2 linked regions of the Daphnia pulex genome follow. The main gene of each other region encodes a partner of the protein of the gene in region 2 in a complex. Links are inferred from orthologs where the notes say so. Each region holds a gene or a part of one and is shown on either strand. Other genes may lie near its edges.

Evidence for each region. The genes of interacting proteins can lie anywhere in the genome.
Region 1: COP9 signalosome complex subunit 7b-like (region 2) and COP9 signalosome complex subunit 4-like share a complex: the UniProt entries of both Drosophila melanogaster proteins name them as parts of the CSN complex. The link is inferred for Daphnia pulex from reciprocal best matches to the Drosophila melanogaster genes CSN7 and CSN4.

What each region holds. Positions count from the first base shown.
Region 1 is NC_060024.1:7,065,431-7,069,759, forward strand, and holds COP9 signalosome complex subunit 4-like, read left to right. Parts: upstream 1-1,836; 5' UTR 1,837-1,984; coding exon 1,985-2,027; intron 2,028-2,123; coding exon 2,124-2,490; intron 2,491-2,555; coding exon 2,556-2,670; intron 2,671-2,806; coding exon 2,807-3,167; intron 3,168-3,219; coding exon 3,220-3,420; intron 3,421-3,482; coding exon 3,483-3,616; 3' UTR 3,617-3,647; downstream 3,648-4,329. Other genes in the region: trafficking protein particle complex subunit 9-like, read left to right, coding at 366-946, 1,020-1,223; HAUS augmin-like complex subunit 3, read right to left, coding at 3,648-3,945, 4,007-4,254. UniProt on the Drosophila melanogaster protein: Component of the COP9 signalosome complex (CSN), a complex involved in various cellular and developmental processes.
Region 2 is NC_060017.1:4,234,889-4,238,978, reverse strand, and holds COP9 signalosome complex subunit 7b-like, read right to left. Parts: upstream 2,283-4,090; 5' UTR 1,996-2,282; intron 1,924-1,995; 5' UTR 1,895-1,923; coding exon 1,730-1,894; intron 1,671-1,729; coding exon 1,506-1,670; intron 1,404-1,505; coding exon 1,316-1,403; intron 1,254-1,315; coding exon 1,000-1,253; intron 935-999; coding exon 803-934; 3' UTR 674-802; downstream 1-673. Other genes in the region: chloride intracellular channel exl-1-like, read left to right, coding at 3,206-3,241, 3,310-3,369, 3,438-3,522, 3,599-3,693, 3,759-4,090. UniProt on the Drosophila melanogaster protein: Component of the COP9 signalosome complex (CSN), a complex involved in various cellular and developmental processes.

The DNA of each region.
Region 1 (4,329 bases), on a different chromosome or scaffold from region 2:
TAAACATTTCAAGAATAATAGATTGACTGCCCGCGATGAAAGTAAAACACATGCTATTATCATTCTGTCCGCCGTAGTTGGACGATAAGTAAATTTATTTGATCTTCGCTTTTATTTCAACGATACACACGCTGGTTGAAATTTCACCGCCGTTTCGATACACCATATTTAAAATAGTTTTTCTGGATGGCGTTGCATCGTCTCGGATGCACGAGTTTATTTTTTATAGCATCTGTGTAATAAATTCTTGGAATGCATATGAGAATGAGAGTAGTAATGATTTTTTTAAAACATTATTTCTCTCATCAGCTTAACATTAAGTAGCATAGATTAAAATTTAACGTTACAAATTCTTATACTTGCAGAAATGGAGCTACAGTATAGCAGTTGCAAACACATTGCCATAGAAGCGCTTGATACGTGTCGTATTCCAGTACCTGTTGAACGATGTCCATTGGTCAAGCTAACCCATGTTTACACTGAAAAGGACCTGAGTCCAGAACAGCAACTTGAAAAGATTGCCAGGATTTGCAGCGAACATATTTCCTCCTTAGTTGAGCTAAAGTGGAGCTTATCTGGCGTCAATCAAACTTGTACTTCTATCAATGAAAACATTGAACAAAACTCGACTAAAGTAATAAAAGGCAAAGCTTCGTTGAGTGGCCTGCGCATAGCTCCATCTATGCTGGATCTTCTACATATTCCTCCAATTCAGCTGGAGGTGGAACTAAACAATGAAATATGGTCAGCTGAAAGAACCGAATTTATATGTGTAGTGGGAGATGTATTAAATGTAACAGTCGGTTTATTCAATGCATTAAGTAAATTTTTGGGTCCGCTGAATCTTCAAATATCGGTATATCAAGATCTGCAAAATGGCACGTTTCATCGGCGATTAGACACACGCCTGCTTACAATTGGATCAGATCATGCTGTGCTAGAAAAGGTATTTATTTTCCTTATATGCTCCTTTAGTATCAAAATGTCTTATCTGTTTCTGTTTTGCTTTCTTTAAAAAGATGGAGCCAAACAGTAACTACAAACATTGTTGTGGCATAATTTTTTTTACACCGGGGACTTACAAGCTGGATGTTGTCTGCTCACTCAAAATTTCGACTCAAAATAGAGAATCGAAATCTAATCTTCCGTATGATTCAACTAATGAACAACATGTTTGGAAATTTGTCCCCTCGATCGAAATTATCGTGTCCGAACCATTATGATTCGAAAAATGATACAGGCAAATTTTACATGTAGTTTTTCATGTCTCATTTCATTAGTTGGCTTGTCCGAAATACAAAAAAATTTAAACCATTTACTGCTTCTAGAATAATAAAGGCTCTTTCCTAGCCCATAATAAATATTTTTTTTAAATGCACCCTTATTACCTGTGCTAAATATTCTGTCACGCTGCGACTAATGCGCGTTTTGGTTACTTTTTATGATTTGTTTCGCATGATGTTAATAAATGGATATACGCATGCTTGATGTGAAATAAATTGCCAATACAAATTTTGTCTCGATATTTCGAGGAACAGAAGACAAAGAGGTACGTATTACGTTTTAATCTAATTCACTTGCAGCTATTTTATGCAAAAAAAAATACATTTCTTAAATGAAATGTGAAATTTCACAAAAAAGTGAAACTTTGACTGCGTCTGATTTGTTCAAAACGGCAGATTCTAACGTCTGGCGACCTGACGTTAGAATCAGTGTATTTTTTTTTAAATTACGATTGAAAAATTTTTTCTCTTAAACAGTTTGTGATTTTCCCCAAATCACGCCGACTTCGGGAGTGAATAACTCTCGAACCCGGCCGGTCTGAATCGTCAGACGCGCCATCTCGCGGTTCTCCCACCCTCCTAAACCAAAGTTGATAGTCAAACCTTCTCTTAAAAGGTTTGTGTCTACTTTGACACGGGCTCCCTGACTATTGTACTTCGTAGTCTGTGGTTCTAATAGTATTTTTCAGTTAAAACTAAAAATGTACAACTATAAACAGCAATTGGCTGCACTTGTGAATTCCGGTAAAAAAAATTTCATATGATTAACAATTATATATATGTATGTGTGCATGTGTGTGTAAATATATAGGTGTGTAATTTTCACGAATTTTCTCCTAGGTGGATTCCATAAGGATCAGGCGGAAAAGTTTCGCTTAATCTTAGAAAGTATATTGAACCAAGATGATAGTGAAGGACTCGTTGAGGGCTTAAAGGCTTTAATTGAAACAATTGTTCATGAGAATGTTTCACTTGTTATTAGTCGCCAGATTTTGTCTGAAATAAGTTGTCATGTTCCAAAGTTGACAGATGACATGGGAAAATCTGTGTGCAGTTTTGCTCTAGGGAAAATCCAGCCACGAGTGATATCTTTTGAAGAGCAAGTAGCATCCATTCGTCAGCATTTGGCAGATATCTTTGAAAGAGAGCAATGTTGGAAGGAAGCTGCTAATGTCTTAGTTGGAATACCCTTGGAAACTGGGCAAAAGTAAATTTTTCAATTAGTATTTACTTGTGTAAATGATAATTTCACTGTCAAGTCAAACATTGTAGACAGTACTCCTTGGACTACAAACTGGAGACTTACTTGAAAATAGCACGCCTCTACTTAGAAGATGATGACCCAGTGCAAGCTGAATCATTTATCAATCGGGCTTCTCTGCTACAGGTATAAGCAATTTAAAAATCAGTTTCTTTATGTTAACTGTATTATAACTTTTCTGTGGGTTTTAGAGAACACTATTAATTCAGCTGTATTAACTGTAACAAATAATATGCTTAAAGATTGTTATTTATTTAAATAGGCCGAGTCAAAAAATGAACAGCTACAGGTTTATTATAAAGTTTGCTATGCTCGAGTATTGGATTATCGTCGTAAATTCATTGAAGCAGCCCAGCGCTACAATGAGCTCTCTTACCGAAGCATAATCCATGACGATGAACGAATGACGGCTTTAAGAAATGCATTAATATGTACAATATTAGCATCGGCGGGACAACAGAGAAGCAGAATGCTTGCAACTTTGTTTAAGGATGAGCGTTGTCAACAGTTGCAAGCGTACTGCATTCTGGAGAAAATGTATCTCGATCGTATTATAAGGCGAAAAGAACTTGTTCAGCTCGATTCACTCCTGCAACCTCATCAGAAGGCTAAGACAGCGGATGGTAATTATATCATCTGATTCATTGAAAACTGTCACTTTATTATTATTTTAAGGTTCTTCAATTCTCGAGCGTGCTGTTACAGAACATAACCTTTTGGCTGCGAGTAAACTGTACAACAACATTACTTTCATGGAACTGGGAGCTTTGTTAGAAGTGGATCCTCTTCGAGCTGAGAAAATTGCATCACAAATGATAACTGAAGGTCGAATGAACGGTTCAATTGATCAGATAGATTCGATCGTGCACTTCGAAAGTAAGTTGATATTTATTGTCTACAGTACAGTAATGTAAATATGTAATGTTGATTAATTTTAGGTCGTGATGTCTTACCGGCCTGGGATCGTTCAATTCAGTCACTGTGTTATCAAGTGAATAATATTATAGAGAAGATTGCTAGTGTAGCACCTGACTGGATGGCCAAAGCAATGGATGAACAAATGGTACATTGATATTGTGTAGTATGAAAAAGAAATACAATTTTTACATGGGAATTATTTTAATATTCAAAGCGTTTGTTCTATGAACCATTGATGTGACATCAGTGTAAAAAAGCGTCCATAATCTACGTTCTAGTACGTTCAGATGATCAGTTTTGAAAACGACCTGTTTAGTTTTGAATTTTCTGTTCAAGGGTTTCAACTGACTTTGAACGTCTCGTCTTACAACATTCAAAGTATCAATTCTTTCATCAAGAAATTGTAGATTAGAAGGTTTCTGCGTCTTAGACGTTAGCGGAAACCCGAAGAGCAATTCTTCCAACTTAAAAACCAGCTGCTCTCTATGAATACACAAATAAATGTAAATAACCAAACGTAAGACAAAGATGACAAAATCCTTACAGGCATTTTTGTTGATTTATGACAATTCTACTCAGTTGCCCTAAATTTGACTTGGCTTCTTCTAAATGATTTTTCAAAATAACAGCCAAGTTAATTAGTTCTGAGTAGTCCCAAGGGTCTTGCCTGCATTCCTGTTTGTATTGGAGACCCAATATAGTTTTCATTGAGCATGATGCTTCATCATGTCTAGGAATTGTGTTTCTATTGTGAAGGCTTTTTTCTAGATCAACAAACTGTTTCAATGAAACCTAAATATGAATGAAACATTTAAAGCCTAAAATATAAGGACAAAAAAGGGATCCCAAAAAAGAACACACATGTGA
Region 2 (4,090 bases):
CGAAGAAACCACAACTTGGCAGCACCGCAAAACACCAAACTCCGATAATTTGATAACTTACTGAAATAAAAATCTCGTTGGTAACTGGTTGTTGTACAGATCACGTGATCAAATGACTCGATGATTACAAAACGGACGCACCCTTCGTGTGCTTCGGGACTACAGCGGCAATACAAATCTAAAAACTGAGAGAGCCCTCTACCGTACTCATCCAGTAGTACGAATAGTAGGTAGCGCATCTAAATTGATTGCGTTCAACGATGCGTGCGTGAATTGCGCTACTCTAAGCCAAAAAGCATGTGACATCACAGGGTTAGAAGAGAAAAGTCTGCTGGTCATCAGAATAGGGGAAGAGATCACAAAAGGGATTACATACATCGAGAAAGTTACCTACATGGCAGAACGGTACTTCAAAGCTCAAAGTCAGCGTCTGGAACAAATGAAAATACTGTGACGAAATTGTTGCGCAATCCAAGCTTTTTTGTTTTCCATTTGAAAATAGCGTGAAGATATGTACACAACTGTTATTTGGTTTCATGACTGAATCTCTTTACTGCATTTAAAATGCTTGTACAGCTACCTAAAATTTGAACAAGAAAAACCGCCAAGTTCCGAGTTCCTAGAAATAGACATTGGCCTTGGCGGATGATGAATATCAATGCTCGTCAGCAAGTGCAGTTAAAGAAATTTTCTTTATTTATTTCATTGCGAACACTCTTTGAGACAACAATACCATGGGTGAATCAAGTCCAATGCTTTCAGGGATAAGTGAATACAAACATTAAGGAGTAATTACAAATTTTCAGGATTTATTCCAAAACTTATTTGGAACATTGGTCTTCAATCCTTTTCCCTTGGCAAGCTTCTTACCTTTGTCACCTAACATTTCATTGCGCGTTTCACCAGTAAGAGATATATCATCGCTTTCCTGGATCTGTCAAGTTTCAAGCATTCAGATTTAGTTTTAAGAATTTCAAATAATTGTAGTGCTAGATATACTTGGGATTTCAAGGTTTTTTTAATATTCAAAACTTCCTCCTCGATAGCGACACGATGCTTGATATGCTTTTCCTTTTCACAATTTGCATTCATGACTTGGGTTTCAACGGCTCCGAGAATTGCATCACATGCTTCACACCAATCGTTCAAAGTTTGAATGATTCGGCCAATGTCTTTGACTTGAGCATCTCGACCAATTGCAAAATCAACTTCCAAACGACCGTTACGCTGGTCTAATTTCCCATGAATAACGTCTGAAAGAATAATTGTTGATGATAAAATCAAGATGTATTAATTAATAATTTTGGTGGCAAACCTCCATAGATGGCTTCAATGACAAGATCTTCAAGTTCTCTGAGATTCTTCATATCAAGTTGTTGGACCAACACTTCATATGGAATGCACTAAAATTGAAACAACAATTAATAAAAACAAACTACAGTAGCTGTGAACTTTAACTTAAGATGCCATTGATGACTGCATGCAACAATGATAGCAATACTCACTTTGTTGGTTTCAGATAATGTCACAATTGTTAAGTGTCTCAGTTTCTGCTGCTGAAATGGTGTTAGCTCGGGCAATGAACTACTGTTTTCAAGATATTGTCTGTATGTTCCAAAGGCAAATAATTTCAGCAAATTGTAGTAAGGTTGAAATTGATCAGTTTGAAGCTAGAAAAAAATATGCATAAATGAGAAAATTTCATCGATTAAACATAAAAAAAATTCACCTCTGTAATATTGGGCATGTCGAGTAGTTCACCAAACACATAAACGCCAGGAGCTTCTAAAGCCTGCTTTACTAATTCAACAGCTGCAGCCCCTTTAGCCGACTTTGCTAACAGTACAAACTGTTCAAGGGGGTTGAAACTGGTAGGTTTAGTGTCAGTCGTCATATTCGGCACCACAATTTTCGCATAAATGACTATTGAACCAGAAATGAGACAGTTATTCTTACATTTGCGGAAAAAAATGATAAAATGTAAGCTGTATTTACCAAAAGATCTTCTTTAATAACCTACTACAACGTCTGATAGCATAGCCAAGGTATATTGTATAGAAGAATGAGATTCACTGTAGTCTGTAAGCAGTCCGCGCAACTTATTCGGAGCTTCTAAAATATGGTTGCGCGGAAACAGAAACAATGGGAATGGGGAATGCATTTCAAATAGTTCAAAACTACTAGGGCGCAAAAATAAAAATTAATCGTATTCACTATTCAGCAGTACAAATAACTTTAGTTTCATTTTATAATGTGACTTAATGTTGTAGTAAGCTGTGTTTAGTAAGTTTAGCAACATTGTCACTTTTGATTGTGCGATAATAGTTAAAACAGAGCTGGTTAGGTTTGGTTGCTTTAGATCAGGTCAGAAATACTATAATTAATTCTTTAAAAAATTCAAACTTTTACAAAAGTGTCCGGATGGGGAGAATAAGTAAAGTGCGGAGAATCCGCACCTCAATCTCGCACTTTACCAGTCAATTCCGCCTTCCGCACCCCATCCCCCCCCCCTCAACGGATGAACTAATTATTCACATATTTCGGCTGTGGGTTGAAAGCAAAAAAAGTACAATAAACAATAACATGAAAAAGGTCGAGTCAAACCAGCACAAATGACAGCATGTGAAAAAACAATTCCGACTTGAAAGCCGAAAAAAGACTTGCGGGTTGCGGATGGCAAAAGAGAGAGGGGGGATGGATGGTTAGGAAGAGAAGTGAGTGAAAGTTTTTAGATAAAAAAAGAACTGGGAAACAGCATTTGTTGTGGTCCCTCGGGCTTATTTCATGTTGAGCGTCGGTTAGCTGCTAGTATATGGGCAGATAGAGCCTTTAGTCTCGTGTTTTTGGTGCCGAGCATTCTTCTTGTGTTCACCACTGCGAATTTCAGACAGTGTCGCAAGCTTCAACACCCGTATCTTTGCTTCTTTATTGGTTCTACTTCGACATTGTGCTGACTGCTGATATTAGAAAACGGTTCATTTAGTTAGTGTGCATGTTTAGGGCGGCCAAAAATAAACCTGCTGGAGACTGTTGGTTAAATTTTGGCTTATTCGGGTTTTAGAAGTGTGAGTTTCTCATCGCGGCTGTACAGCAGCTGCCAGACTATTTCATATTTCCTTACGGGTGCTTTACGTCTGCGTACTTGGTAAATACAAGAGTGACTTCCCTTGTAAATAAATCTGAAATTTTGAGCGCAGCGGAAAAAATGAGTTTAGATGTTCAAAGTTCACAACAAATGATGGTAAGGGTTCTGTTTTTACCAGTTTGCTTCATTTTTTATTTTCCGATGACGTCATTTTTTGTTGCTAGGTGTTGTACGTCAAGGCGGGAGCAGACGGAAAGCGCTACGGAGCCTGTCCATTTTGTCAGGTTCGTTGATTTCTTAGTTAAATGGGGATCTGGATTACGTTAACAAGATTTTATTACAATTATTACAGAGAGCCTTCATGGTAGTATTGACGAAATCTCTACAGCATCCCTTCCACTTCAGATCCGTCACCGTAAATTTAGCTAAACCACCAGGTACACGATCCGTAGTTGGGATAAATTCGCATAAACTTTTATGGACTAAAAATAAATGTATAACTTTTTTCCAAAGAAATTTTTCATCAACGCGGATTGCGCCGTGTTCCGTCCCTTGAAGATGGAGACCAAGTGATTGACAACATCGATGATATCGTTTCTTATTTGGAGGTAATCGTATTAGTTGGAATTTACTAGGTACACTCAAAGACGAATTTTATAAATTTGATTTACAGAACAAATTTCCGGACAACCGTCTACTGTACGACAACCCGAAAGCTGATTCTGCGATCAAAAATGTGTTCTCGCGCTTCTGTTTTTACATTAAGCAGATTTCAAAAGACTCCACACATCTTGAAAATGAGCTTCAAGTGTTGAACACTTTTCTCGGTCAACGAGGAAGCATATTCTTATGCGGGAATAATTTAACGCATCTAGACTGCGAATTCCTGCCGAAACTTCAACATATACGAGTTGCTAGTGCTGCTTTAAAGAATTTCTTTATACCCATTAGCCTTACTCACATCTGGGCGTATTTATTTGCTGCGTACAATTCTGATGTGTTTGT